Linked DNA regions of Sus scrofa. The protein of the gene in region 2 purifies or fractionates together with the protein of the main gene of each other region. This does not show direct contact. Links are inferred from orthologs where the notes say so. Each region holds a gene or a part of one and is shown on either strand. Other genes may lie near its edges.

Region 1 (3,648 bases), on a different chromosome or scaffold from region 2:
CTCCAGAGTGGCCCACCGGCATCGCCCTCAGCCAGCGCGGCACCCACAAAGCCTTCTTACTGACTTCGGACTCAACCCCCTTCCGCTGCTCCTTTACACGCAGCCCCGAGTGCACACCTCATCCACCACTGACTCCCTTCTGTTTCGTTCTCTGACTGCACAAGTCAGACCTTCGCTATCTCTTTACTATCCCGTGACTGGCTCTCCCACATTAACTCGTCAGCTCTTTGGGGGCAGAGACCATGTCTGGCACGGCTGTGGCTGTTGCCACAGTTCTGCACATGAGAGGTGTGCCAAAAACCCTTTTGGCCGAGCCGGAAGAATGAAACACAGCTTTGGCAGCAAAGGTAAAAGAGAGGCACTCTCTCGGTCTAGAAGGAACAGGTGACGCGTGGAGTGATCCATGTCTCCTATTAAGCCAACAGGATCTCACATTCCACCCTCAGAACAGGGAGGTACTTGCCCGGTGTGGGTAAGGGCCCGCCCGCCCTGAAGGGGCCAGGGCTCACCTTGCCATCGGAGATGCACTGAGCCGCGGGCTTGTCGGGGATCAGCGCCAGACCCGCCTCCTGCAGCAGCTCCTGGGCCTCCTCGAGGATGCCTGTGTCCTGCCGGATCCGGGCCTTCAAGCTCTGCAGGCTCTCGTCCTCGGTCACGGGGTAGGTATGAATGGTGCCTGTGACCATGTTCAAGATATGAACCAGCTGCAACACAACCCAGACGTTACTGGAAAAAAAAACTACTTGACAGAGACGCCCACCTGCTGGCCTGGATCCCTGCTCCTCCCTGAGCCCCCAGCACACAAAGGCCTGGCCTGGGGAGGGGTTCAGTGCTGGGTCGTTTTTTTTTTTGGGGGGGGAGGGTAAGTGTGCAGTGGCTCAATGTGGGATCTCGGTTCCCAGCCAGGGACTGAACCCAGGCCGCAGTGGTGAAAGTGCTGAATCCTAACCACGAGGCCACAGGGAGCTCCCCAGTGCTGGGTCTTTATAGTCAAGTCTGTCCTCAGCTATGACCTCACAGCCCAGGTTGGTCAGCATGGGGTCCTAGCATCTTCCTCACGTACAGATGCCCCCCACCCCGCCCCACCAGGAGGCTGCATTCCCCGGTTGGGGAGGGGCCCCACGGCCCAGCTAGCTTGGTGCTGGCTCACCTTCAAGGTTAAGATGTCATCCAGGGCCTTGAAGCAGCCATTGGGCCCGTACGTGGGATCGGTGCCCCTCTGCCGGGGGTGCCACATCAGCATCAGCTGCAGCCACTTCTCCAGCCGCTGGGCCAGGACACTGAGAAGAGGGCATGGGTGTTGGGGAGGTGCGTGGGAACTGAAAAGTGCACCCGCCTCACACGGGTGTCCCTGTTGCACTGACCCCTGAGGATGAACTAATATTTCACATGCTCACCCCACCTCAGGCAGACTCCACCCACCATCTGGACCCCACGCTGCTGGATTCCTAGTCAGTCACCCCTTGGAAAGCACCTGGTGGGTCCACACGACAAGTTCTTGATCCTTCCCGACCCCCTCAGCACCCACAGTGGCCCTTGCTGCCCCCCATGAAGGCCCTCCAGAGGCCAACACTGCCACCTCCCCTCTGCAGGCCCCCTCAAGCGTTCTTCCCTCAGCTTCCTTCCTTTTCACCCATCCCTGTCCTGCACATTCTTCCAGATCCTTCCAGAAAGTTCCAGCCCATCCATTCATCCCATGTAGCTAGTCCACATAGTACCTCTCTCCCCACCCCCTCAATACTCATAGTCATTCTTTTTTTTCTTCCTGGCTGTACCCATGGAGTATGGACGTTCCCAGACCATGGACTGAATATGATCCAGCAGATGCAGTCTATGCTGCTGCTGCTGCTGTGGCAACATTAGATTCTGAACCCACTGAGCCACAGCGGGAACTCCACTCATGGTAATTCTTATCCGTGCCTCTCAATTGCATGCAGCTGCCTGGCAGCTTTCTTTTGTGCTGTTACCGGGTTCTGATACGATTACCTGACTGCTCATATTGTGGCTCTAAGGCCAGACTGCAATGCTGTTCACACTGCACAGGTTTATCTGCTGATGGTAAGCCAGCATTTGGCTGCACGGGGAGTGCAGAGAGAAATACAGTGACTCTCCTGCCCTTCCAGTGGACCAGGAGATAAACTCTCTGCAAAACCCAGTGTAATGCAAGGCAGATGCCAGTGAGGGGCGTGAGAGGCACAAACCGTTGTGCAAGTGAGTGAGGAAGACGATTTCTAATTGTGGCGAGGGGTTGGAATGCGTTCCAAGGTTAAGACTGAGATGGGACCCAGTTAGGTTCATGCCACAGCAGGACACCCTGACGTAAAAGCTATCAGCCCTCAGAAATCCCACACCTCTTCTTTGTTTTATTTTGTTTTCTCTTATTTTTTGGCTGCCTGCAGCATATGGAAGTTCCCGGGCCAGGGATCAGATCCCAGATGCAGTTGTGACCTAAGCTGCAGCTGTGGCATCACCAGATCCCGAACCCACCGTGCCGGGCTGGGGATTGAACCTACGTCCCAGTGCTCCCAAGACACGGCCAATGCTGACACACGTCCGGGGCCTCACCTGTTGAGGTTGTTGGGGTAGGGTAATGAGCTGGAGAACTTCACGGTGCCATTCAGGTCCTCGCTCACCACGATGTCCATCTCGCTCTTCTGCCGGACTTTGGAGTGCCTGCAGATGTGGGGCCTCGTCTCTTACGCCACTCATAAGGATCCCACATCCCTTGATGGCCAACAGCTCCCTATGCTGGTAACCTCCACCCTGGCTGCTATTTAACCCCATAGGGTGCCGGCCAGTGCTCTCAGGACACTTCTCTGAGAGTCTAAGGTCATTAGTACTGCCCAGCAGGGTTGTATGGCTGACTCCTGACCCCATTCAGGGCAGGCTCATTCCTTTGTATTCTTCTACTTTTTGTTGTTGTTGTTGTTGTTGTTTTTAGGGCCACATAGCAGCACATGGAAGTTCCAGGCTAGGGGTCAAATCAGAGCTGCAGCTGCCAGTCTACGTGACAGCCATAGCAATGCCAGACCCAAGCTCCGTCTGCGAACTACTCCATAGCTTACAAGTAACATTGGATCCTTAACCCACAGAGCAAAGGGCAGGGATTGAACCCACATCCATGTGGATACTGGGGGGTTAACCCACTGAGCCACAGTGGGAACCCCTCATTGTTCTACTTTTCATCTAATACCGAACACTCATGTTTTGGTAGAGGATAAAATCAGGACTTGCACACCAAGGTAACTGCACATGGATCCCCTCCCCATGAAATATGCACGCACTTCCCTCTAAAAGCACGTGGCCAAGTGTTTTACATCTGACAGTGAATGAATGATAATGCTTCCCAACTTAGAGAATCTTTCGACACATCTGAAATAGCATTTAAAGGAGAAAAGGTTTTTTTTGCTTTTTAGGGCTGCATCCATGGCACATGAAGGTTCCAGGCTAGGGGTCGAATTGGAGCTGTAGCTGCCGGCCTACACCACAGCCGCAGCAACCCAGGATTGGAGCCACATCTGTGACCTACACCACAGCTCATGGCAACACCGGTTCCTTAACCCACTGAGCAAGGTCAGGGATCGAACCTGCATCCTCATGGATGAGAGAGAAAAGTTTTAAACTGGTCTCAAATCTTCCCAGTGAAAA
Region 2 (4,354 bases):
GGTGGGGTTATGTCTAATAAACCCATCAGAAATTGAAAATGTGTTTAAATACACCAAACATCACAGCTTAGGCTAGCCCACCTGAAAACTCACAAGCTACCTTACCCTTGCGCCTCTCGTAGCTAGCCATACTGTCAGCCCAGGAAAAGATCAAAGCTGAAAAGTAGTTTCTCCTGAGTTCCCATCATGGTGCAGTGGAAAAGAATCTGACTAAGAACCATGAGGTTGCAGACTCAATCCCTGGCCTCGCTCAATGGATCTGGGGTGGCTGTGGCAAAGGCCAATGTGTGTAGCTCTGATTAGACCCCCTAGCCTGGGAACCTCCACATGCTGTGGGGTGCAGCCTTAAAAAAAAAATTTCTACTGCATGTGTGCTTTCATGCTACCATAGTAAAGTCAAAAAATTGTTGTGAGTGGAAGGCCATCTATATATCCTTTAGGAAGGGGACTGAGTGTTGTACAGATGGCAGCTCAAAACTACCGCTTGTCACATAGTTAGCAGTAACCATGTCCCCCATGTACCATGTGACTGTACTCAAGACTAGGGAGTGAGAAGCCAGGGAAACTCCAAAAGCAGTGTTGTATATACTTACGAGAGCGCAGAACTGTATAAAACTGCATCTTCTTTATTTTGCATACTTTAATCTCAGAACAAAATAAACGAGCACAGTACACGACACCCAAACCCAGTGTCAAATGTGGGAAGGGTTATTAGGGCTTGCGGCCCCTGTAGCCTGCCTTAGACAGAAAAACAAATAAAACCACTAGACATCAGCAGAGGAGACCAGGTGGGCTAGGGCCACTGGGGGCTGCTGCCAGGGGAGCCAATGGGGACACTATACAGAGGGAACAAAGTTTGCAGGTAGCAACTCCTAATCTACTTCTTCCATGCGAGATGCATCCTCATCACCCTCGAGCGGGGGGATCTCATCAGGAACAGCAGCACTGGGCTCCTCTGCTGTCACTTCGTCCTCATCAATGCCTAGAAAGAGGGAAGAAAGAATGCCACTTGAGATCTGGCCCCAAAAGCATCAAATCTGTGTCCACCAGGCTAATTCTCCAACTCCTCGCCACACCTACTGCGCAAGGGTACTTACCCAGGCCAAGCTTGATCATGCGGTAGATGCGGTTGGAATGGGTCTGGGGATCTTCCAGCGAGAAGCCAGAAGACAGCAGTGCCGTTTCAAACAGCAGCACCACTAGGTCCTTGACAGCCTTGTCATTCTTGTCCGCCTCTGCCTTCTGTCGCAGCGTCTCCACAATGGGGTGGTCAGGGTTGATCTCCAGGTGCTTTTTGGCCATCATGTAGCCCATGGTCGAGTTGTCCCGAAGTGCCTGAGCTTTCATGATGCGCTCCATGTTGGCTGTCCAGCCATAGGTGCTGGTCACAATGCAACAGGGTGAAGACACAAGCCTGTTGGAGATGGTCACCTGTGGACAACCACAAAAATCTTTGGTTTACCTTAAATCAAAACTACCTCAAGGCAAAAAACGGTATTTTGAAGTTCTATCCTTGGGAAAATAAAGCCTCATCTTTGCCAAGTCTTAGAGCAATGACAAACTTTCCCAGTAAAAGAACACAAAAAACAAAAATAAAAGTTCCCATTGTGGACCAGCGGGAACAAACTCGACTGGTGTCCATGAGGATTTGGGTTCAAACCCTGGCCTTGCTCAGTGGGTGAAAGGATCTGGTGTTGCTGTGAGCTGCGGTGTAGGTCGCAGACATGGCTTGGATCCAAAGTTGCTGTGGCATAGGCCAGCAGCTGTAGCTCTTATTTGACCCCTAGCCTGGGAACTTTTGTATGCTGTGGGCGGGGCCTGAAGAGAGGGAAAAAAAAAATCTGCCCAGTTAAGAGAATAAAATAGGATGGCTCTAAACAAATAAGGCTGCGCCAAACCACTAATCGTGTAGCAACCAGAAACTGAGGGCAAAGCCCTGAAAGCACTTACTACTCCGTTCACTGCTTACCTTCTCTACTTTCTTATCCAAGATCTCTTTCATGAGTTTGCAGAGGTTCTCAAACTTGGCCTTGCTCTCCTCCATCTTTTTCTTCTCCTCCTCATCCTCAGGCAGCTCCAGGCCCTCCTTGGTAACTGAGACCAGGCTCTTCCCATCAAACTCCTTGAGCTGTTGCACACAGTACTCGTCGATGGGCTCTGTCATGTACACCACCTCGAAACCCCGCTTCCGCACACGCTCCACAAACGCAGAGTTGGCAACCTGCTCCTTGCTCTCACCTATAGGATTATTAAATGTGACTCAAGGATCAGAATGCCCCAGCCAGCCAGCTCCCAGGTATCCCTGTGTCCTCCCCTTCTCCTAACACCTGAGAGGCTTTGTGGTCAGGCCCTACGTTCCACTCACCAGTGATATAGTAGATGGACTTCTGGGTCTCCTTCATGCGTGAGACGTACTCTGAGAGAGAAGTCATCTCATCGCCAGACTGGGAGGTATGGTAGCGCAGCAGCTCAGAAAGGCGCCGCCGATTAGTGGAGTCCTCATGGATTCCAAGCTTTAAGGGTGGAAAGGGAAAGTCTTACTAGAAAATAATTATCCCCTACATGAATGAAAAACAGCCATCTTCATCATTAAAAAAGCAAGCATTTGCTGTCTGCTTACCTTTAGATTTTTTGAGAAAGCCTCGTAGAATTTCTTGTAGTTCTCCTTGTCTTCTGCCAGCTCAGAGAAGAGCTCCAGGCACTTCTTAACAATGTTTTTACGAATGACCTTCAAAATCTTGCTCTGCTGGAGCATTTCTCGGGAGATGTTCAGGGGAAGGTCTTCAGAGTCAACCACACCGCGGATGAAGTCTGAAATCAAACATGGATGCTCAGTTAGACACCCCCCCTACAAAAACAAAAAAGTATACACCGCCATCCAGCTGCACCAGTTACACGGCAGAGGACCCTTAGCTTCAGAACAAAGGCTTCATCAGAGTTCCCCATCATGGCGCAGTGGAAATGAATCTGACTAGGAACCATGAGGTTGCAGGTTCAATCGCTGGCCTCGCTCAGTTGGTTAAGGATCTGGCGTTACTGTAAGCTGTGGTGTAGGTCGCAGACTCAGCTCGGACCCTGCGTTACTATGGCTGTGGTGTGGGCTAGCAGTTATAGCTCTGATTTGACCCCTAGCCTGGGAACCTCTCCATATCCTGCAGGTGTGGCCCAGAAGAAAAAAAAAAAAAAAAAAAAAAAAAAAAATCAAGGCTTCAGTTCCTTTGAGAAAGCTGAGACCAACTACATTAGGCAGAGAAGGTACTCACTGAGGTACTCTGGTATCAGCTCATCGCAGCTGTCCATGATGAACACACGGCGAACGTAAAGTTTGATGTTGTTCTTTTTCTTTTTGTTCTCAAAGAGGTCAAAAGGAGCCCGACGGGGGATGAACAGCAATGCTCTGAATTCCAACTGACCTTCTACAGAGAAGTGCTGTGAGAGAAATCCAAGATAAGCCAACTGTGTATTTTAAGAGTGGCTTTTGTCCCAACACCAAATTAAACTATTTGGGGAGTTCCCGTCGTGGCGCAGCGGAAATGAATTTGATGAGGAAACCCTAAGGTCGCATGTTCAATCCCTGGCCTTGCTCAGTGGGTCGAGGACCGAGGGTTGCCATGAGCTGTGGTATAGGTCACAGATGTGGCTTGGATCTAGGGTTGCTGTGGTGTAGGCTGGCAGCTGTAGCTCTGATTAGACTCCTAGGCTGGGAACCTCCATATGCCGTGGGTGCGGCCCTTAAAAAACAAAAAAATTAAGTTATTTAAAAAAAAAAAAAACTATTTGGAAAAAAAGACCTTCCCCCTTAAGCACCAGGAATAGACTAGACTCTATGGTAGCTGTTGAGAAGCCCTAATAATGCCCTAAATGAATCCAACATAGTGCAACCTGTACATAATCCTTGTGTTAACGAGGAAATAGCCAATTCAGAATGCTAGATGGGCAAAGCTGCCAGAGACACAGTGAAGTCCCTGGAGATGTCATTCCCCTGCCCTGGAAGGGTCCATCAGTAGGTGAACTCATGGCATTCCCAGTTCCCAATCAGTTGGGCAAGTGCCACTTGCCCATTACCAACTCTTCCTATTGCGCCAACAAACAAGGCTTCTTACCTTGACTGCCAGGTGATCTTCCCAGTCATTGGTCAGGCTTTTGTAGAACTCTCCATATTCCTCCTGGGTGATGTCATCAGGGTTCCTGGTCCAGATGGGCTTGGTCTTGTTCAGTTCTTCCTGATCAATATACTTCTCCTTGATCTTTTTTGTCTTCTTTTTCTTATCTTTGCCACTATCATCCTCCTCATCTGAGCCCACATCTTCAATCTTGGGCTTCTCCTCATCATCTTTATCTTCCTCCTCTTTAT

The links.
Region 1: the proteins of HSP90AB1 (region 2) and IKBKB purify together in Homo sapiens (affinity purification with western blotting; 3 studies listed by BioGRID and IntAct, with this or other methods). This does not show direct contact. The link is inferred for Sus scrofa from reciprocal best matches to the Homo sapiens genes HSP90AB1 and IKBKB.

Annotation. Positions count from the first base shown.
Region 1 is NC_010459.5:11,328,285-11,331,932, reverse strand, and holds part of IKBKB (inhibitor of nuclear factor kappa-B kinase subunit beta), read right to left. Parts: intron 2,674-3,648; coding exon 2,566-2,673; intron 1,281-2,565; coding exon 1,151-1,280; intron 705-1,150; coding exon 510-704; intron 1-509.
Region 2 is NC_010449.5:39,246,730-39,251,083, reverse strand, and holds the end of HSP90AB1 (heat shock protein HSP 90-beta), read right to left. Parts: coding exon 4,104-4,354; intron 3,430-4,103; coding exon 3,264-3,429; intron 2,812-3,263; coding exon 2,621-2,811; intron 2,514-2,620; coding exon 2,366-2,513; intron 2,239-2,365; coding exon 1,970-2,238; intron 1,432-1,969; coding exon 1,098-1,431; intron 983-1,097; coding exon 873-982; 3' UTR 605-872; downstream 1-604. UniProt on the Homo sapiens protein: Molecular chaperone that promotes the maturation, structural maintenance and proper regulation of specific target proteins involved for instance in cell cycle control and signal transduction. Undergoes a functional cycle linked to its ATPase activity.